Linked DNA regions of Notamacropus eugenii. The protein of the gene in region 3 interacts with the protein of the main gene of each other region in a pairwise test. Links are inferred from orthologs where the notes say so. Each region holds a gene or a part of one and is shown on either strand. Other genes may lie near its edges.

Region 1 (7,191 bases), on a different chromosome or scaffold from region 3:
AGGCATGCTCATTTCCTCAGTGGAGGAAAGGAAATCTATCTGAAAATGACTATGATGTGCAATAAAAATTCTAAAAGGCATATTTTTTTTAATGGAAAAAACCTTAAGATGAGTCTGGCTCCTGTTGCCAGGTTGAGACTTAACCCTTACATAGGAAATTGAAACTAGGGGATAAGACAGACTTACCATGTCTCCTAAATGGTTCATAGCCAGTTCAAACGTGTGAAGACCAAGAGAGAATTCCAGGTTGTGGGTGGAAATATATTTCAGGTTCTTTTCCCAAATCAGACGTCGAGAGATTTCATCCACCTAAGTAGAGCAGGGGTAACAGTGACTCTGACTGAACATCCTTTGTAGACTACACTAAGTATAGACCTATACTAAATGTTGTCAGGGAGTCAGAAGGAAGATGCCAGATACTCCCATGCTCTAAGAGAGGACAATGTGAGGAAACTAAACATATGTGCATAAAAAAAAAATTTAAGAGTACTTAGAAATTAGTATATAAAGAAATGCCAAATATTATAATCATATTAAGTCCATAAGTCCTGGGATGATATCAACCAAGGGAGTACACAGACCTGGCATGGGTTATTCTGGGGAGTCTTATAGAAGAAAGGTTAGAAAGGCTACAAGGAACAGGGAATTAAGGTTGGGTAACAAGTTGGGGTAAGGCTTGGAGGTCAGAGGGGGGAAGTATGAGTAAAGAACAGGGGAGATTTGCTTCAAGTGGGAAATTTATATTGAATTTATAATGATTTATATTTCAGGGAGGGTCTAGTACTTAAAAGAATGTTACAGGATAGAAGAAGCTTTGACCCCTCAAATACTTCCAATCGTCACAACTCAGGCCTCCCTCCAGGTCCCCACATACCTTGCTGTTATATTCTTTTCCATAGGATTTCTTCCACAACTTCCACTGTGTATCTAACATCTCCTCTGGGTACAAAGCAGAACTCACCACTGATGGCAGCAACAATAACAGGATGCTGAACCCCCACATCCTGAGGGAAGAAATACTGTCCAGATTCTGGATGTGCAAGGGGTATATATGAAAACTGCATTCAAATTCCAAATCAAGAATAATGGGGGTGGGGAGAAACTGTCATTTTGGGAAGGGAGACAGAGTGCTGAGAATGGTTTATGACCAAAGAATAAGAGTCAGGGACCCAGCTCTGGGTAAAATCTAAACATTACAGAAACACATTGCTTTTCTTGTCTGATTCCTTGACTCCTCCCAGTGTACTTTATCCTGGCAAAACATCACCCAAACACACACAATAGAGAAACAAAATAAATATATATATTGAGATGTGTCTAAGGCAGGGCGATTAGTCCTTTGCACCAACGTATAAAATTTAGAGGGCACGGCTAGTATTTGTAATTTTTCAGCAGTTTAGTGAAATTAGAAAGAAAATAGTTAATTAAAATAAGAAAGCTACCAGATGGTGGGCTAAAGAGTATTCCAAAGTTTCTATCTGCTCACCCTCCCACATACATCCATTCCTTTCAACTGAGCACTCACTTTGTACTGTTTGCCTTTGAGTTGTCTTCAGTGCAAAGGTTTCTTCTAGCTCTACATATGTGGAAGGGAAAATTAAAAATGATCTGATTAATATCTTCTCCCTCTCCCTCCAGTATGCCCAGCAAGCCCAGAGGAGATGATAAGGAAAAGGGAATGGCCAAGATCAAATTAGAATTTTAATAGACACCAAGTGGAGGTTTTGACCTGATCAGTGAATCTCCTTAGACTCTGACCTACTTTTCTTTCAAAAGAACCCATTCCTAAATTCTTAGATATAGAATGGACTGCTGAGCCAAAATTTGCTAATTGGAAGGATTTTCCTCCCTGTCCCAATCTCTCTTGCTTTCTCTGCTTCCCATTCTCCTTACTTATTTCTATCTCCCTTTCCCTAACCCTTCTCCAAAATCCTCCCCTCTCCTCTACTCCCAACTCTACTGTAGTTTTTTTTTCCTCCTCCTTTTTCAGGAAACTGCTCTAATATCAACCAGCTGCTGTGGTCAGAAAGATTTCCCTTTCTTTTCCACTGTCAGAAGCCCAGTTTCTACATCCCAAGAAAATCAAGCATGAGCAGCCCCTGAAGGTCAAGTACTCAGTCCCACCCTGATCTGTGGGACTGTGTTATAAAGCCTCCTTCACAAAAGCAGCTATGCAGAATAACATGCCACATGACATCCTAGGTACTAACAATTTTGAGTAAGCTTAGGCTACTGAGGGCCATTTTGACCATGTCTTCAGTCCTTTTCATGATTGTACCGGAAGGGCCAGGGCTGAGAGACCCTCTATACAACCCCAGCCATGTCAAATATTAGCAGTTACCATGCTGGGAGGCCCAGAAATCTTAGAAAGATGGGATAGCTTTAACACTCTCCCCTCCACTTGGGTGTTGTAGTATAAGGATCCCTAGATCTAAACTCTCTTAATCCTTCCTCTCCCTATCCTCTTTTGAAATCAGGCAAACAACTACAAGCAGAGCCTTGGGGGAATTCGAGTGGGTGGGAGGCCCCTAACCCTTCTGCCCTCCTCAGAGTTTTAGGACAAAGTCCACTCACAAGATACATTGCAGATTTCCAAAGAAGAAATATCTATGTGGCAACAAAATTATCCCTAGAAGTCACTTCACCCATGTCGTAGTATCCCCTGATTTTCCTAAAGAAATCCACAGGCAGGGATGAGGAGCGGAAGGGCAGGGGAAGGGTAAAGGAAAAGCGCAGCTTTACCTGATGATGGTCTGTCCTCTAGTCTGGAGAGGAAGGCACAGGCACGTATCTGGGGGGATGATTATGGATGCTAGTTTTATTCCAAAAAGTTTGAGGAAGTCAGTTCCAGCAGTCGGCTGGAAAATCTGGACTGTCAGGCTGGGAAGTGGCCAGGAGGAAGAGGGGGGAGAGGGGCAGAGTGGAAGGAAACCAAAAGAGAGAAGGGAAGGAGGAGAACAGATTTGCATATCAACAGGGAAGAGTTGCTGGGTGTTATTTCACATGACTTTGTGGCACACAGAAAACTCGTCTTGGAAGCTGGGCTATTCAGCCTCAACACAGGATCCTCCCAAGCTTTATCTTCTCTATCTTCTGGCTGAGAAGGGTACTGGCTGTGGGAGGCTAGTTTTGCCTCCCTAGTCCCACCAGACTGACTTTTCACACGTACTAAATACCTACCGTTTGGGGTACTGTTTACTTTAAAACACACACACACACACACACAAGAGCAATGTTTCTTTTAGTCTGTAAGATTAGCAATGTCTTAGGTCACTGAAATTCTCAGCAGATGACCTTCACTCCTATTTTAGAGACCATTCTCTCTCCTAACCCTGGATGTCGAAACTTCTTTTTCTTCAAATCTATTTTTCCTTCAAGTCTCTCAGAAGAACTAATGCACCTGAATAAAAGTAACCCACTACACCACCTGTGGTGTTCATCATATGTTCTTGTGGACCCTGAGAGAACTTATTGGGGAAGAGTACCATTGAAAACCAAATTGTAGACCTACTTCTGCCCCTAAGTAGCAGTTTGGTCTTACATAAAAGATTTCACTTTTCTGGGTAGGTGTGTGTGTGTGTGTGTGTGTGTGTGTGTGTGTGTGTGTCTGTGTGTGTGTGTCTGTGTGTGTCTGTGTGTGTCTGTGTGTGTCTATGTACACAAAATGAGGTGATTGAACAAAACAATTTATAAGGTCTATAAGTCTAAGCTCTTCTCTAACTTCAGTCATTTCTTCTCCATTAATTATTTATATCCACTTTAAAAGGACAGCTTGGTGGTGAAATGGATGGGGTGCCAGATAGACTCATCTTTCTGGGTTCAAATCTGGCCTCAGACTCTTACTAGCTGTGTGACACTGGGCAAGTCACTGTTTGCCTCAGTTCCTCATCAGTCAAATAAGCTGGCAAACCATTCCACTAACTTTTTCAAGAAAACCCCAAATGGAGTCACAAAGAATCAGATACAACCGAAGTGACTCAATAAATAAATCCACCTAAAAAGGTCTTCCCTATCCTAAGAAAGAATCTTGATTTTCACCCTGATGAAGACTTCAAGGCACTGTGCTCTCTTCTTCCTTTCACTGCCAAATTTCCTGAAGGAGTGGTCTACACTTACTTCTCTACCCTTGGCAGTCTGCCTTCTGTTTCTAACTTTACTTCACTGTGCTCTCTCAAGATCATCATACAATAATCATCCCTCTTTACCTAAAGAATTTAACAGTTACACCAATGAAAAAACAAGCACTTCCTCCTTCCCTGGCTGCTTAATTCTGCTTACATCTGGTACTCTTGTCTGACCACTGTGTGTCTATGTATATATGTTTATGTATGTATATGTGTGTATATATATACACACATATGGTCTGTATGTTCACATATAGGTATGTGTGTACACACATATATTTAAATAAGTACATACCCATGTGTGAATGTATGTACATGTATGAATGTAGTTATATATGTGCCCCATTAGAACATGAGCTTAAGTAGGGATGGTCCTTCGCTTTTTTGTTTGTATCCCTAACAGTTAGTAGTGTTTACCACATAGTAGGCATGTAAATGGCTTATGACTGGTTATTTTTTTTATGTATGTGTGTGAATGTAAGGTCTTTGAGGTAATTTTTGCCTTGTACCTGTTAAGCAGGACTTGGCACATTGTAGATGCTTAATAAATGCTTGTCGATGGACTGACATCTCTTTCTACTAGATTAAAAGCTTAAAGACATCTAATCTTTTTCTTTTCCCCAGCACCTTGTATATTGCAGATCCTCCCAAGAACTTGAATCACGAAAAATCATGTTCAAAACGTGCCCCAGACTTTGTGTTTTACCTAAAGCAAATAGTTCTCTCTCAACCCTAGTCCCACCAAACTCTCAGCCCATTTCTTCATCAGTAAAATAGGGATATTACATACCTCAATCAAAGGACTATTATAAGAATCAAACAATATTATGTATAAAAGTGCTTTGTAAACCTTAAAACACCCCATGAATGTTATAAATTCTAGTTTATCATTCATCTTATGGATTTAAATGTGTTTGGTACAAGGCTGTTATCAGGGTAGCAAATTCCTCCCAGGGATGCACATCAGGAACTCCTCTGGAACTGGCTTGTGGCCATTTGGTTAGTACGTGACAGAATCAGAAGGTGAACCATTGTAATCTTCTTGATTCCAAGGTCAGCCCCTCAATCCATTTTGTCAAATTCTTACAAATTCAAAATTCAGCCACTTTATGGAGTGAGGTAACCAAACTTCCTGCCTCTTGTAAGTTATTCACCAGGTCAGTATGTCTCTACCTCTCCGACCCCATTCAAGATAGTATCTTTCCTATATAGAGGAACCTTTTTCTCAAGGAAAAGAAATGATTCATGACATAGGAGACTGTTCAGCTACAAAATAATTGAATTAGAAATAGCAATTCCAATAATGACAACACATAAATCAATGCCAGAAGCATTGAGACCACGGGGAAGGTTGAAGGGATTTCCCTTTTCTTAAGTGTTGAATGGTAGGAATGGGTATTGTCTGATGATTATTACATGCCAGTCATATGAGCCCTTCTAGACCATCCTCCCCCTTCCCAGCATGTGACAGATCACAAGAGTCTGCCTCAGCCCCAACCCCCCCCTTCCCCCCCCTCCCCCAGTAAACAGATGACATGGGAGAAGGAAAAAGGATGATTCCAGCAAGATAAACACATTTGGTTTCTTTTCCCCAACACAGCTGGATTCTAGCCCTAGATTTCCCTGCAGTTCAAGCTCAAATTAGTCTAGTTTCTTCAGCCCATGCTACAGAAGACAGTCCCAGAAGGAAACCAAGAACAAGCAGAAACAGCCTGTCTCCCAATACTTAATTTTTTTCCATCAGAGAATAAAGATATTTGGGGTCAGAGTCTAGTAGAGATAACTTTTTCCTGCAGGGTTTAGAGCTCTCTCTTCCTTGGAACTCTGCTATATATATAGGCGTCCTCTCTTCCCATCCCCTTCCATTTCTTGAAAGTAGCAACATCAAAGGGCCAGTAAAAAAGCAGATGAATGATCAGAGCTCTGATTTGAGGTTTGTTTTTTTTTAAATACAGATTATATAAGCATCTCATTTAGGGAATAGTTGTTTCTTATCTTTGGTGTCTTAGTATGTGTATTTTTTGGTGGAGCTAACCTGTGCTCTGTGTCACACAGCACATTTTTGTCTTTCTGTCTGTGTATACCTTGGCAGGAAGCATTAAGCAAGAAACCTGGGCAGGGATGGTGCGGTCACAATCAAGACTAAAACACACAAGGATTTTTAAAAAGGAAAAATATCTTTGCTTTAAAATCTCTGCTACATAATGACATCATTTGTGCCACCATGAGACTTGACATAGGTGCCAAGTAACAAAGAATGGCCAACAAGAAAAATAAACACAACTGAAAATAAAACCCTGAAGGAAGAGTAGGAACAAAACCCCCCAGAGTTTTTTTCCCTCCCTCCCAAAACCCTACAATAACTGTACAATATTATAGTCCTAATCACATTTAAAAATAATTGATTATCAAAAGACAGATTCAAATGGAAACTCAACTTTTTGGCTTCTTAAATTGTGATATAAATATAATATATATATAATATATATAATGTATGTATGCTGTGTGTGTGTGCACATAGATTTTTAAAAAATAAAATATCTCCTTCTCCCTGTCTTTTTGCTATCTGGTACCAGGGTGAAGGGAAGGGGAGAGGAGAGGCCAAATCAATATGACATTGCCCCCCTTCCTCCCCAAGGTCATCTGTTTTCAAGACACCTACAACTACATTAAAAACATCTTGCCCTTAATAACTCAGCCTTGTAATTAAAAACTGGCCTGAGGCAATAGGAAAAAAACACTGTTGTCACTTCACTGTGACCTAAGGCTCAAATGCCATAATAGTAGCCTATATCCTCAACCAGAGGGCTACACTAATTGTTAAGAAGCCCTGTTTGATATGGGTTCCTACCCATCTGCCACATAGTATTATTATATTTATACCCACTTGCCACTCCCTACTCCCAGCAAAAATTTTTGAGACCCAACTTGACTCTAAAGACTAGGCAGAAAACAAGGTGTAGCATCATAAACCCTTTTTTCATCTGTGTGCTAGTAACAAGGAAAAATGTCTTCTTTTTTCTATTTAGGTCTGCTTGTTTAGAGAATGGGGATTGAAAAAAACTTA
Region 2 (6,872 bases), on a different chromosome or scaffold from region 3:
CACAGTTTTCCATTCATTTCCCTTCCCAACATTGACCAGGTGGTGTACCCTGCTGGGGACCTGGTCCTGTAGATGGGGGCTGCTTGGAGCTGGTACAATACGTAAGGAGTTGAAGGTGGTGGATACTGGTTCCAGACGGCAATGGCATTTGGGTTTTGAGAATCATTGCAAAGATATAGCTCTCCCACTTTCTTCATGATGACAACTGGGGCCCCCAATGGGGAGGCCGGCTGGACACAAACCCATTTCACATTCTTGGCCAGGAAGTCTCGGACAGCCATCAGTTCTGGGTCCGACACTGCGTAGGGGTAGCCGGTGGGGGCTACAGTGTAACTGTACGGTGCGTGGTATGGGATGGCTTCCTGGGCCATCGGCACAAGAACTTCCTGAACGTCCATTCCTCCAGGGACCAGGCTCGGTGCCATCAGCAGAGCAGCCCGACAGTTGTGCTGGCAATACTCTGAGTCAAAAACGATGGTGCGGGAACTCCACATGATGGAGGGGTTGTGCTGGGTGAGCCACCGCACCCCCAGAACCACAGGGAAGAAGGGGGACTGGGTCACATCGAAGGAGAGTCTCTCACGGTGTTCCCCAATGTCTACCACCAGCTCCTGGGTTTCCTGGGTCACTGGGCCAGAGGCCAAGGGCCGTCCGTCAATTGCTTCCACCAGCACCGGCCAATACTTAATCTTTACTGGGATTCCAGTCTGTGCAACGTAATCTTGGTCAATAAAATTGCCGGAGGCACCGGAGTCAATCATGGCGCGGACGGTACAGTAGGAGCCGTCCGGGAGATGTAACGTGATCAGTAGTTGCAAGTGAGAAGATGACGCGTCATCTGGGGGGGACCTTTCTGGTTCAGGCCCGGGCGCTGGGGGTCCCTCTACAGCGGGGCCAGGGAGTTTCCCACCCCAGAAGACTTTGGCTTCTTGGATGGACAGTTGTCCACGTAATGGCCGGCCAGTCCGCAGTACATGCACAGGTTCAGTCTTCGGCGACGTTCCCTCTCTTCTGGGGTCAACTGAGGCCGAGTGACCAGCTGGTTTGATTCCGACTCGACTGGAGGGGACGAGGCGCTCTGGGGCTGAGGAGAGCTGGCAGGAGATGCCCCTCTCCGGGAATTCAGCCTTCCCTCAATGCGCAGACACTGGTTGATGAGTGCGGGAAGCGATCGGGCCACCTCCACGCGAGCGAGCTCATCTTGGATGGGATCACTGAGGCCCTCCAGGAACTGGTCGATGAAGGCCGGCTCATTCCAGTCCAGGTCCTGGGCACAGAGGCGGAAAGCACTGGCGTAGTCTAGGACGGAGCCGAGGCCTTGGCGGAGACGCCGGATCTTGCGGTTGGCGGCCTCTTTGCGCTGGGGGTCCTCGAAGGCCTGCTTGAACTCATCGATGAAGGCCTCATAGTTGTTCAGCAGAGGACTGGACTCCAGTAGGTAGGGGGTGGCCCAGCGGGCCGCGCGCCCCTTGAGCAAGCTGGTGAGGAAGCACACGCGGACGTGCTCTGTGGGAAAGTCTTCAGGCCTCAGCTCCATGTACAGGCGGCTCTGGGCCAAAAAGCTGGGAAGCATCTCGGGGGTCCCATCGAACTTCTCAGGGAGGCCGACGGGGCACTTACCACGAGGGGCAGAGAGGCCCATGGCCCCTACCGGGGTGGCCTGGAGCTGTCCCCGGAGGTTGGCATTCTCCTCTGACAGCTGGAGGAGCTGGGTCTGCAGGGAGCTGTTCTCCTCGGTCTGCTGGAGGAGCTGGGCCCGCAGGGCCTGGACCTCAGCTGTGAGGTCCTCCATCCTGCAGCGGCGGGCCGAAGCACCGGAACCAGTGCTGGTTGGCATATTCAAAGATCCTGGGAATCAGTGTAAGCACGGTCAAAGATGCCCCGGGGGTGGGGCTCAATCACTCTGGCTAGACCAGAATGGGTAGAGACAGTAGGCAAGGGACAGTGGAGCTTGGCCAGAGAGCCCCAAAGAGAGACCCAACAGACCAAGGAAGAGTCCTACTGTTTTAGAGTCCACCACCAATGAGAAGAAAGGGCGACGAGGCCAAGAGTCAGTTGGTCAGCTGAGGCTCCAGTGAAAGTCCCCTGGCAGCCCCTGAGGGCTCCATGCCATACCTGGCCAGTTCAGATAGGAAGTGATCTGAACCAGTACCTCTGAACGGTTGAATCACATTATCTAGCTGGCAGAGTGTGGTTGGTCTGGGCACAGGCTGTTGTCCTTCTGCAGAGGTGCTGACCTCCTCCTCCGGGAGCCCTCCCCCCCACCCCAGGGTGGGGGGTCTGGTTTGACGTGACTCCCAGATCCGGCTGCTCCCTCGCACTCAGCACTTGTAGGTTCTACTGTCTGCTGAAGGAAGTCCAAAGTCACTGGTGCCTGTGAATAAGGAAGACAGAGAATGTCAGCTGAGCTAGAGGCATGGAGGAGACATGGAGAGGAGCAAGTCTGTGGCACATGCCAGCATCAGATCACAGAAGCAAAAGACAGAAAGTATTCAGAGACTCTGATCAAATGACTCTAGAGGGAGAAGACTCGAAGGAGGTGGGGAGGGGCTGGGAGGCTACTGGAGGGCAGTGTTGTGAGGGGGCTCCATTGGGAGAAGACTGAGACTGGGTCATAAAGATGGGAAGGGGGCTTGAAGGCAGAAGCCTAGAGCATTGTAGGTAGGCTGATGGGATCATTGGAAAAGGAAAAGGGAAGGGGGGGTTGAGGTTAGGTTGTGGGAGGGGGAGAGGAGGTGGTATTCATATAGGACACCTGTAGGTTGTGAGGAGGGGGTCCTGAGATTAGAAGAGTTTAGTGATGAGGGGAGGATATTGGAGGGCTGGATTATAAAGGGATGGGGAGGGGAGTGGCATTGAGAGGGGGCTAGACTCCAAACAGAAAGGGGTGGACTTTGAGTCTGCAGGATTACAGTAATGGGGGGGGGCCTGGGAGTGGCAAAATATTGAGAGAAGGGGGAGGTGATGCTACTTGGGGGAGCTAAAATCTTAAAAATGAGGAGAGTGTTTGAGGATAAAAAACTATTTAAATGAGGGTAGGTTTGGGGGGTGGGCTAGATTAAAAAAATGAGTAGAGTTTGAGATCAGAAGCCTGTAATAATAAAATCAATCAAATCAAATCAAATCAATACAAAAATAAAAAACAGGGGGTCTGCATTATAAAGAGAAGGGGAGGGGGCTTGAGATCAGCAGACTCATTGAGGGGGGTATAAGGAAGGGAGAGATAAAAAGAAATGGGGAGGGGGTTTGAGGCAAGAGGGCAACAGTATTAGGGACAGGTTGTAGGAGGGGGGAGGTGTTGATGTGGGAGGCCTGCAGTAATGAAGGAGGCTGTGAGGGGCTAAAAGACCCCCAAATGGGGAGGGGGCTTGTGGTAATGAGGGGAGGATGTGGGGGGGTTTGCTAAGATGTTAAGAGATGGGGGTAGGGTTTGCAAACCCTACCCTAGGGAAGCAGTAGGGGCTGTTTGTGGCTGGAAGGCCCCAGCAATGGGGGCATATTCCCAGGAGTGGAGCCTGAAGAGCTGCAGTGGGCTCTGAGATTGGAGGAATGTGGCAATGCAGGTAGCTGGTGGGAGGTGGGGGCTCTGTTACAAAGGGATGGGAAGGAGATTCAACAAAGAAGCCTGTAGTGATGGGGGTAGGTTGTGGGGGCAGATAAGGGGGAGGGGGGGGGGGCTAAGGTTATAAGACTTTAGGAACAGGAGGAGCATCAGGGGCCTAGATATCAAATAGACTGGGAGGGGTTAAGCCTAAACTTTAATGTGCTGGGGAGGGGATTGGCTTCTACAGGACCATAGTAATGAGGGAAGGTGGTGGGAGGGGTGGGGGCGCTCGGGGAGGTGATGCTAGACATGTATCGTAAGAAGAGTAGGTTGGGGGGTAGGGCTCAAAATTTAAAAATGGGGAGGGGGTGTGATATTGGATGACTAGTAATGAGGGAGGGCTGCATTATAAAGAGATGGGGAGGGTTGGCAGCTAGGAGACTGTAGCAATGAGGGTAGGAGTCAGAAGACATGGGGAGGGGTCTGAGATCAGAGGATTGAAGTAATTAGGGTGGGTTGTGGGGGGGGCAGACAATAAATACGGAGGGGCATATGAGGATAGAGTGTGCATGTGGGGGGGGCTAGACAATATATAGGGAGGGGCACATGAGGAAAGAAGGTAGGTTGTGGGGGGCTAGATAATAAAAATGGAGGGAGGGGCACATGAGGAGAGAGGGTAGGGTGGGAGGGGCTAGATAATAAAAATGGAGGGAGGGGCACATGAGGAGAGAGGGTAGGGTGGGGGGGGCTAGATAATATATAGGGAGGGGCACATGAGGAGAGAGGGTAGGTTGTGGGGGGGTAGATAATATATAGGGAGGGGCACATGAGGAGAGAGGGTAGGTTGTGGGGGGGCTAGATAATACATAGGGAGGGGCACATGAGGAAAGAGGGTAGGTTGTGGGGGGGCTAGATAATACACAGGGAGGGTCACATGAGGAGAGAGGGTAGGTTGTGGGGGCTAGATAATATACAGGGAGGGGCACATGAGGAGAGAGGGTAGGTTGTGGGGGGGCTAGATAATATATAGGGAGGGGCACATGAGGAGAAAGGGTAGGTTGTGGGGGGCTAGATAATATACAGTGAGGGGCACATGAGGAGAGAGGGTAGGTTGTGGGGGGGTTAGATAATACATAGGGAGGGGCACATGAGGAGAGAGGGTAGGTTGTGGGGGGGCTAGATAATATATAGGGAGGGGCACATGAGGAGAGAGGGTAGGTTGTGGGGGGCTAGATAATATATAGGGAGGGGCACATGAGGAGAGAGGGTAGGTTGTGGGGGGGTTAGATAATACATAGGGAGGGGCACATGAGGAGAGAGGGTAGGTTGTAGGGGGGCTAGATAATATATAGGGAGGGGCACATGAGGAGAGAGGGTAGGTTGTGGGGGGCTAGATAATATACAGGGAGGGGCACATGAGGAGAGAGGGTAGGTTGTGGGGGGGTTAGATAATACATAGGGAGGGGCACATGAGGAGAGAGGGTAGGTTGTGGGGGGGGCTAGATAATATATAGGGAGGTGCACATGAAAATAGAGGATAGGTTGTGGGGGGACTAGATAATACACAGGGAAGGGCACATAAGGAAAGAGGGTAGGTTGTGGGGGGGCTAGATAATATATAGGGAGGGGCACATGAGGAGAGAGGGTAGGTTGTGGGGGGCTAGATAATATACAGGGAAGGGCACATGAGGAGAGAGGGTAGGTTGTGGGGGGGTTAGATAATACATAGGGAGGGGCACATAAGGAAAGAGGGTAGGTTGTGGGGGGCCAGATAATAAAAATGGAGGGAGGGGCACATGAGGAGAGAGTGTAGGTTGTGGGGGGGCTAGATAATATATAGGGAGGGGCACATGAGGATGGAGGATAGGTTGTGGGGGGACTAGATAATACACAGGGAGGGGCACATAAGGAAAGAGGGTAGGTTGTGGGGGGCTAGATAATAAAAATGGAGGGAGGGGCACATGAGGAGAGAGGGTAGGTTGTGGGGGGCTAGATAAAAATGGAGGGAGGGGCACATGAGGAGAGAGTGTAGGTTGTGGGGGGGCTAGATAATATATAGGGAGGGGCACATGAGGATGGAGGATAGGTTGTGGGGGGACTAGATAATACACAGGGAGGGGCACATAAGGAAAGAGGGTAGGTTGTGGGGGGCTAGATAATAAAAATGGAGGGAGGGGCACATGAGGAGAGAGGGTAGGTTGTCGGGGGGCACAGGAGAATAGAAGGTAGGTTGTGGGGGGGCTAGATAATAGATGGGGGGCACATGAGGATAGAGGGTAGATTGTGGGGGGGCTAGATAATATAGAGGGAGGGGCATATGAGGATAGAGGGTAGCTTGTGGAAGGGCTAGATAATAGATTGGGGGGCACAGAAGGATTAGAGGGTAGATTGTAGGGGGGGGCTAGATTTTTTAAATGGGGAGGGAGATTGAGATTCAAGGCCTGTAGTAATGAAAGCAAGATATAGGGGAGGGGACTAGAATATAAAAAGAAGGGGAGGGGGCTTGAGGCCAGAAGATTCATTGAGGGTAGGTAGAAAGGGATAATATGGCAAAGGGGAGGGGGTTTGAGGAACAGGTTGTGGGAGGGGGGAGGTGTTGATGTGGGAGGCCTGCAGTAATGAAGGAGGCTGTGAGGAGGGGCTAAAATGCCCCCAAATGGGGAGGTAGCTTGTGGTAATGAGGGGAAGATGTGGGGGGGGGGCGTTGCTAATCCTAACCCTACAGAAAGAAGAGCAGGTTTTCTGGAGGGGTTAAAATATTTAAAAACTGGGGAGGTGGCTGAGATTAGAGGAGTGTGGTAATAAGGGTGGGAGGGGGTAGATAAAAGGGGATTTGAGAATAGGGCACAACAGGGTGGAGCTGGATTTATAAAGAGAAGGGGAGGGGGTATGAGACAAGATGACCACTTTAAGGAGGGCAGGTTGTGGGAGGGGGGGACTGGGTTTAAAAATGGGGGCGGGGCTGTGCTAACCCTAACCCTAGGGACTTTTTGTAATGAGGATAGGTTGTGTGAGAGGGTGGATTATAAAGAGATGGGGAGGGGGTTTCAGGCTATTGGACTGAAGTAATGGGGATAGGTTGGGGGAGCTAGATAATAAAGAGCTAGGAAGGGAGTTGAGGCTATAAGACTTTAGTAACAGGGCGGTGTTAGGGTTAGTGGTGACCCACAACACTAACCCTAAACTTTAATGAGCTGGGGAGGGTATTGGCTTGGAAGGTGGTGGGAGGGATGGGGGGTGGGGCTAGAGGAGGTGATGCTAGAGATGGGCAGTAAGAACAGTAGGTTTTTTGGGGAGTGAAATATAAATAATGGGAGGGGTTTGATAT
Region 3 (8,049 bases):
AGATTGTATGCCATCTTGGAGAAGGGGGAGTAGAGGGAGAGGGAGACAATTTAAAACTCAAAATCTTATGGAAGTGAATGTTGAAAATGAAAATTAATTGTAAAATATTTCTGGATCACAGTTTTATAACATTTGGGCAAAATTCTACATTGTTATCCAAAATGACTAGATCAGTTCACATGTCTACCCCAGTGTATTAGGGTGCCAATTTTGCCACATCCCCTGCAACGTTGTCATTTTCCCCTTTGATTATTTTAGTCAAATTGATAGGTGAGATGATATCTAAAAAGTTGTTCTAATTTGCATTTCTCTAATCAATAATGATTTAAAGCATTTTTTATCTATGATTTTGATTTATTCATCGAAAAACTGCCTCTGTGTCCTGTGTACAAACCCTTTAAAATTAAATATAATCAAAATTGTCCATTTTACATCTAGTAATGCTCTCTATTTCTTGTTTATTCATTAATTCTTTCTCTATCCCTAAGTCTGGTAGGTAATATTTCATGTTCTTCTAATTTTCATATGATATCTCCTTTTATATTTAGGTCATGTATCTATTTTGACCATGGTAAATGATGTAAGATACTGGTCTGTGTCCAATATTTGCCAGACTGTGCAAACTCTCTGTCTTTCTCAAAACAATGTAAGCAGAAAAAATCCCTACCACAAAACAATAGAAAATGAACAGTACAAAATTACAAAGAACCATTCTCCCCAAAGATGAAATGAGAAGGTAGCTCTCTCCCTTATTAGCTACTTTATTATTTGGGGGACAGGGGTGGGAGAGTACAGTGGGGATTGGGTGGGAGGGGAGAGGCAGAGAGGGAGGTGAAAGGAATTTGCCATTTTAGAACATTATCACTGATTTTGCTGCTATTTCCCCCTTTTTATTTTCTAAAATAAAATCTTCAAAGATTAAAAATAATTTTTGTCCTCTGAGATGATTCTCTGGGAGGGAAAGTGATACAGAGGAAATTCAAGAAAGGTACCAACAGAGGTCAGGAGAGAGAATTTGTCCAGATAACTAAAACAATGATTTCATTTATGTAGCTTTGAGGTTTGCAAAGTATTTTTATACACATTGCCTTGTTTTAACCTCACAATAATTCTTGAAGTATGTGGGTCTTACAGGTATTTATCTTCAGTAAAGACAATACAAATGAGAGAAGATATGTGTTTGTAATTGAATGTTCTCTAACCTGACTAACTTAATCAGGCAGTTGACACAAATAAGAAATAGATAAAACAGACATCAACACAGAATTTGAACGTTGCATGAGGAAGTTGTTGCAACCTAATTAATATAAGAAATCCCAGAGTCTAGAAATCACTTGACCCAGCAGACATCTTTGTTTTCTTGCTATTATAGACTGCCATGACTCTTTGCATGGCCACACCTGTTTAAAATAAAATTTTTTTGGTTAAACCTTGCCAGAGAATCATGGTAGAAGATGAAGGGTGTTTAAGGATGAAGGTGTAAGAACAGATGAAAAACTAACAAGAATGATAAAAAAGATTTTAAAATAAAAAATTATTGTAGATAAATTTTTTTTGTTTTTAAATCACTTATATTTCTGAAAATTTTTCTTCTGCTACCCTACAAAGCCATTCCTTGTTACAGAATAAAGAAGTGGTGAAGGAAAGTCATTCAGAAAACCCAACACATAAGTCGTATTTGATGCTATGTGTATTTTTTTCCATTCATACCAATTCCCTTCTCTTTCTTTCCCTTCTACCCATCCTCCCCTCCCCCAAGAAGGGAGGGAAGTACATTTCCTTAACTCTTCTCTTGGGCCAAGCTGGATCATTATAATTACATTGCTCTCAGTACCATTTTTTTTTTTTTTTGTTTGCTGCCGTTTAAGTTTACATTGTTGTCATTTTGTACATTTTCTTTCTGCTCCAGCTTACTTGGGCATCTTTTCCTGTGTGTCTTTCCCGTCTTGACTGTAAAGATTTTTATGAACTTTTTCATCATCAGTGAGTGCCTTCGGCCACAACATTGCCACGTTTGTACTCTTAATAGCACTGTCCTTGCTAAAAAAAAAAAAAGAAAAATCATTACATAAAAGAAATATGAAAGGAAAAACTCGACTTTTATTACCCCCCAAAATGGCAGAATGTTAGCTACTGACCTAGGTCCCTGTTTTCCTATTCAAATTTTTTATGAGCTGAATCCATACACACATTAAGGACATCATTGATGAAAGTTTGAACAGTTAGGCACTCCTAAAGGATATTCTGTACCAGATACATTCTTAAGAACACACAGTTGACTGAAAGGTTAAGACAAATATAAGATCTTACAGTCCTCTTCAGGTACTTTTGTTTGCAGATTATTTTGTTCTGGTTTCATCAAATCTCAGATCGTTGTAGAACCTCCTAAATGAGGTCCCTAATGGTCCAAGAGAATTTGCCTCTACACTGGGTGAAGAAATCCTGGATAGTAAGACATGAACTGAGTCTGACATGCAGTTGAATGGACAGCCCATAAGTCCTCCATCAGTACATAAATACTGAGCAGACATTGTGAATGGACAGTGCACTGATCTGAGAACTGAATTGGAGGAGGAGAACCAGTCAGATTGCCTTTGGGAAATTTCATAATGCTTCTAATGACCAAGCTGGGAAGTTAGAATCCTTAATGTAAAAGGTGGGACTTGAACTGAGCATTGAAGGAAAGTAAGAATTTTGAGAGACAGAGGTCATTAGGAGGTACATTACAGGCATATAGGTTATGGGGAACAATTAGAAAGCCTCCTTGCTGTGTGGACCTTAGTGTTGATTAAATAGATTAATATGCAGTACAGCTGGAAAATAGGTTAGGGTTATATTGTGAAGGACTTTAAGTAACAAACTGAGGTGTTTATATTTGTGCCTGGAATAAATAGGGTAGCGACTGGAGCTGACTGAGTAGGGAAATGACAAGACAGATTTGTGCTTTAGGAAAATCACTTTGGCAGCTCTGTCACAAGGGTGGATTGGAGGTGGAGGCAGGGGTGGGGATGGAGATACTTAAGTATTTTGTTTTTATTATGTCATCTTAATCTCCCAGTATATCCTTCCAGCATTTACCATACCCAAAGAGCCATCCTCTCTAACAAAGAATAACTTTGAGAAGGAACAAAAAAGACTTAGGGAGTTCAACTAAACTAATCCACGTGAACTGAGTCTGACAATATATGCAGTGTTCCATAAGTTCCCCATCTCTGAAAAGGAGGAAAAGTGTAGTTTTTAACTTTCTCTTTAGCACTTGATTTCTATTTTTGTTGCTCTTTCAATTTACATTGTTGTAGTTGTTTTGTGTATTATTTTCCTTATTCTGCATCAATTCATATGTCTTCCCATCCATATTTGAATTTTTTACATTTCTTATGTACAGTAATACACAATCATCTGGCTGGGTGAGAAACAGCAACAATTGATAATCACTCCAAAGCTAGGAGGGTCAAAAGGAGCCTTTAGGCAGGGTCCCATTGGCTTCCCAGTTTCAGACTGCAGGAGGTTTAAGGTTTGGGAAGAGGAAAGAACAGGACAGAACAGGAGAAGGGGAAGGGAAGGAAAGGAGCCAGTAAAACGGGGCATCTTTTGGCCATCCATATTTACAGTCCTTTGGAGAGGAGAAGAAAGGGGAGGGGGAAGCAGACAGGAGAGGAGGAGTTAGAATTACCCAGCTCCCTGTGTTCTTCCCCCACCCCCCCATTCAGCCCCTGCATCTACTCACAGGATTGTGTTTTGTCCTTCATTGCCAAAGAAGACCATGTCATCAGAGAAATGATGACATGAGTTGCACTTGACTTTGTTTTGAGTGAGGGAGGGTGTGCAGGTCACCAGCCTCACAGGGGCCATGCCCTGGCTACTTCTTAAAGAGTCCTATTCAATGAATGCTCTTCTTTGCTCCTGTTCTGTTCTGTCCTGTCCTGTCCTCTCCCCAAACCATAAACCTACTTCACTCTGAAACAGGGATGCCATTGGGCCCCTACCTAAGGGTTTCTCTCGACCCTCCTAACTTTGCAGTGGTTATCAACAGTAACTGTTGTTGTTTCCCACCCAGCCTGATGTCTTTTCTTTTTCTTGGCCTCCTTAAAGGGGCCATGTCCTGGCTACTTCTTAAACAGGCCTTTTCAATGAATGGGCATTGCCTCACCCTAAGGGAGTACCTGCAAAGACTGCTCAAGGTCTCCCATTGCATCCTGGGTCATCTCCAGTCATCCTGATGAATGTCTGGTCACTGGATTCAGATTTTTCTGGAGGAGAAGTGAGGCTGGTGACCTGCACAGCCCTCCCTCACTCAAAACAAAATCATGTCATAATTTCTCTGATGGCATGGTCTTCCTTGGCAAGGAAAGACGACCACAAACTGCACAGTAATAGTACATTAGCTTCGTGTAGCCTCATTGGTTTAACCATTCCTACTTTTTCTGCTACCGTAAAATATCATTGATTATTTTGGTTCATATGGAACCTTCCTAGAAAGGAATGCCTTTTGACTTTTTTTGAGACTCATTTTTTTTATACTTGTATCTTTACAGTTATGATTATTGGTTGTGAGTCATGAAATACAGTAGTTTCAGAAGAATTAAAGTTGAGGGTCATCCAACAGGCAATGAAGAAGCGTGGACATGAGTAGGTGTTCAATTATTTCTCTTGTGCAAATTCTGATTTGTAAAGATGTAAGAAATACATGATCAAAAAAAGAAGGTGGGGTCTGTCATTGTCAGATTGTAGGATGGACAGCTCAAATGCTCTTTTCTTATCCATACAGCATGAAGAGAAGCTAAGGAGGTGCATAGCAAGTTGGGTGGAACCTTTCCTCCCTAAATTATGATGAGACCTGGATAAATGACTTTAAAAAGATGAGAAATCATGTGTGGATCGCAGCTGGTGGTATCTGAGGGAGAACCCATGTGGATAAAATTACACCTCCATCAAAGTAAGGGTCCAGGATAAAAATTTTAACAGAAATTAGCAACAGATAAATCTTATTAAACTCCCATTAGTATGTGATTGGTTTCAGTGACTATTATTATTTTTTCCTTGTTGGGGAGGGGGAATGTAATTTTTGATACATTTTAGTTAATTTGACTTGCTTAGTAGACCAGGATTCTGGATCTAGAATGCTGTGTAATAGAATCTTACACTGAATGAGCATGTTTATTACCTTTTTTAGTAGATACGGGAAAAGGTTGGCAAATTGGCTATTTAAATGGATATATATGTACATGTACCTTTAAAAAAATGAGATCCTGTGCCTGAGCCTTTGTATCAGCCTCCCCTATGCCTTCTTAGGGGCTCCTCACCTCTTCAGTGGAAGTATCAGAGAGTCTTAACAATTAAAAAAAACAAGACATTTTTTTCCCATCATTCAGCATTTATTTTCTTTCCTTCACACTTCCCTATCCCCCCCCCCCAAAGAAAAAGAAAAAGAAAATTCTTTAACAAATATGTACAGTAAAGAAAAATAAATTTCTGTGCTATGTTAAAAATGTGTATGTATCACTCTGCATCTTGAGTGCATTCTCAGATGACTATCATTTTTCATCACTGGTGCTCTGGGAATCATGGATGATCATTGCATTTATCATAATTCTTAAGTCTTTAAGTAGTTCTTAAAATGTTATTGTATAAATTGTTTTCTGTTGTCCTCGCTTTACCCTGCATCATACAAGTCTTAACAGATTTCTCTGAAACTCTCTCTTTTTAAATTTCTTATGGAATAATAGTATTCCATTACATTTGTATACTATTATTTGTTCAGGTATTCCCTCTAAGGGTACTCCCTTAGTTTCCAATTCTTTGCCGTTATAAAAAACTACCATAATTTTACTTAGGGAGGGGGTGCATAGGGTCCTTTCCCTCTTTGATTTCTTTGGAGTATAGGCCTAGTAGGACAGAAAGTTACATGGTACTGAGAATGGAAGTTGCCTTTCCTTTTACATTAATGCAACTCCTCTGTCCTCTTCTCAGCAATTACTGGGTTCCATTTGGCACATTTGCCCTTATCCCCAATTCTAGAAAGGGTCCTGGGCTTCCATGCACCAGCAGAAATCTTCATTATAAGCCCATGTTCAATAATTCCCAGATGCCTTAAAAAAATGGCTCATATTTCTTGATTCAGCACATTTCTTAGTTTCAAAATCCCAGTTTTTACAGAGGGCTTAGAACTACTAATAGATGTTAGGCATAGAGATCAGTATCACCCCCCCCCTCCCCAAATTATACGAATAAAACAAGCATCAGTTTACAGCATTTATCTTAAGTACACCATTTTTTCTTCTCTTTTTAAAAATTCTGAACTTAAAACACCAAAAGTATCTTTACACAGCAGAATACAAAAAAACCCCTCCCTTTGAAATTGTGAATTTCCATTTTATACTACTTGCTTTTGTGGAGAAAAAATGTAGTTCTGTATGTTACTTTCAATACAGTGTTGTCTGTGCTTCCTTCTGTGCATTAAAAAAGGTCCATTTCAAAAAAGTGTTTCATTGACTTCAGTGGCTTGGGAGGGAGGCATCCATTTTATTGGAATAGGTTTAGGATCTGACATTTAATCTCCATACCTCCACTTTATAGCTGCATCTCTGCCAGTTTTTATCAAGTTGGTTCTTTTCCTAGTGTCTCAAATTATTCTAGTAAGTAAGGCATCTCCTGATTGGTTTGCTTGATCCCAGTTATGATAGCTTTGTAATAGTGTTTACTTTGCATATATAATATGTATAGACCTGGTTTTACTAAAAAAAATGAAATAACTATTTAAAGAAAAACAAAGTTGAAATGAGGTATAAAATAGACATTTGTTTTAAGGAAAAAAGCAGTTTTCAAATGTGATGTCACTTGAACAGCTAGTCAAAGACCTTTTTGGGGAGGCGCTGTGGTAGAGTGAAAGAGCCCTGCCTAAGAGTCAGAGGACCTGAGTTCAAAAACCATCTTTGACAGGTACTTGTGTGACTTTAGACAAGTTACAAGTCTCTGGATTGCAATTTCCTGATTTGGAAAGTGAAGACAGATTGAACTAATGGCCTCTGAGGTAATTTGTAATCCTTTGTTTATGATTTGTTTTACTTTTGCTTCTGAAATTTGTTTTAAATTGACTTTAGCTTGAATTACATACTGTCATAGGTTGAGAGGTTAAAAAAAAGAAAACTTTTGACTGTGACGTGGCATTGGAAAATGAAGCTAACAAAATAATTTGATAAAATTTTTTCATCTTTCAATTGTAATGGAACAATGAAATTGAACAAATGTAAGTTAAGTTAGAAAAAACTAGATGAATGACTTGGCATTAGTTTAGGCATAATTTATGTTAATTTACTTTTTTGTTTGCCATTAAATTATTGAAAATGAATCTTTAAGAACTGCCATGATATCTGGTTTTTGCTGATTCTTTTGGTGTACCACCCTGGTAATTTGTTTAAATAACATTATTGGTAAAGTTATGTTCAACTTTGAGTAAAAGTAGTTCTGTTGTGTTCTGGTTAGTGAGAAACTACTTTAATAAAGTCACCATTTTAACTGTCTTCTACTGGAAAATGTTTTTTTGTGGAGGCAATTTATTCCGTTTGGAGCTAAAATTGAACTCAGGTCCTGCTAACTCCAGTGCCAGCCTCTCTCTATCCACTGTGCCACCTAAACTGCCCCAAGTTTTTTAAAGTGTGTTTGAACATTTCAGTTTAATTGATAGCCATTTTTGATTACTTTACAAGCCATTCTAATTTTATAATTAATTTCTTGAAAGGTGAATATTTTGGTATTTTTCTTTTTTGTGACACTAAGCTAATCAAGTTTTGAATTTTCAGGCATTCTGGGAATCTAGTCTTGACTCTGCCTTTGAACAAATTGCTTTTATCTGGGCCTCAGATTTCTTATCCATAAAATGAGAGCTGACTTGTTGCACTAGGTAACACCCAAGATACTTCTGTTTGAAAGGTCTGCTAGTTAGAAATAATCAGATAGTGAAAATATTGGAATGAATAATGAATTTTGTTAGATATTTGTCTTTCTCGTATTTTATTTATACTGATACTAACACATCAGTGTGCCTCATTC

Evidence for each region. The genes of interacting proteins can lie anywhere in the genome.
Region 1: the proteins of SIAH1 (region 3) and CTSK interact in a two-hybrid assay, tested with the Homo sapiens proteins (2 studies listed by BioGRID). The link is inferred for Notamacropus eugenii from reciprocal best matches to the Homo sapiens genes SIAH1 and CTSK.
Region 2: the proteins of SIAH1 (region 3) and PEG10 interact in binary tests that used the Homo sapiens proteins (3 or more experiments, as listed by UniProt). The link is inferred for Notamacropus eugenii from reciprocal best matches to the Homo sapiens genes SIAH1 and PEG10.

Annotation. Positions count from the first base shown.
Region 1 is NC_092873.1:304,709,566-304,716,756, forward strand, and holds the start of CTSK (cathepsin K), read right to left. Parts: upstream 3,014-7,191; 5' UTR 2,970-3,013; coding exon 2,743-2,969; intron 1,577-2,742; coding exon 1,526-1,576; intron 1,005-1,525; coding exon 875-1,004; intron 310-874; coding exon 187-309; intron 1-186. UniProt on the Homo sapiens protein: Thiol protease involved in osteoclastic bone resorption and may participate partially in the disorder of bone remodeling. Displays potent endoprotease activity against fibrinogen at acid pH. May play an important role in extracellular matrix degradation.
Region 2 is NC_092874.1:503,460-510,331, reverse strand, and holds PEG10 (retrotransposon-derived protein PEG10), read right to left. Parts: upstream 2,265-6,872; 5' UTR 1,838-2,264; coding exon 884-1,837; 3' UTR 514-883; downstream 1-513.
Region 3 is NC_092872.1:463,105,602-463,113,650, reverse strand, and holds the start of SIAH1 (E3 ubiquitin-protein ligase SIAH1), read left to right. Parts: upstream 1-4,950; 5' UTR 4,951-8,049. UniProt on the Homo sapiens protein: E3 ubiquitin-protein ligase that mediates ubiquitination and subsequent proteasomal degradation of target proteins.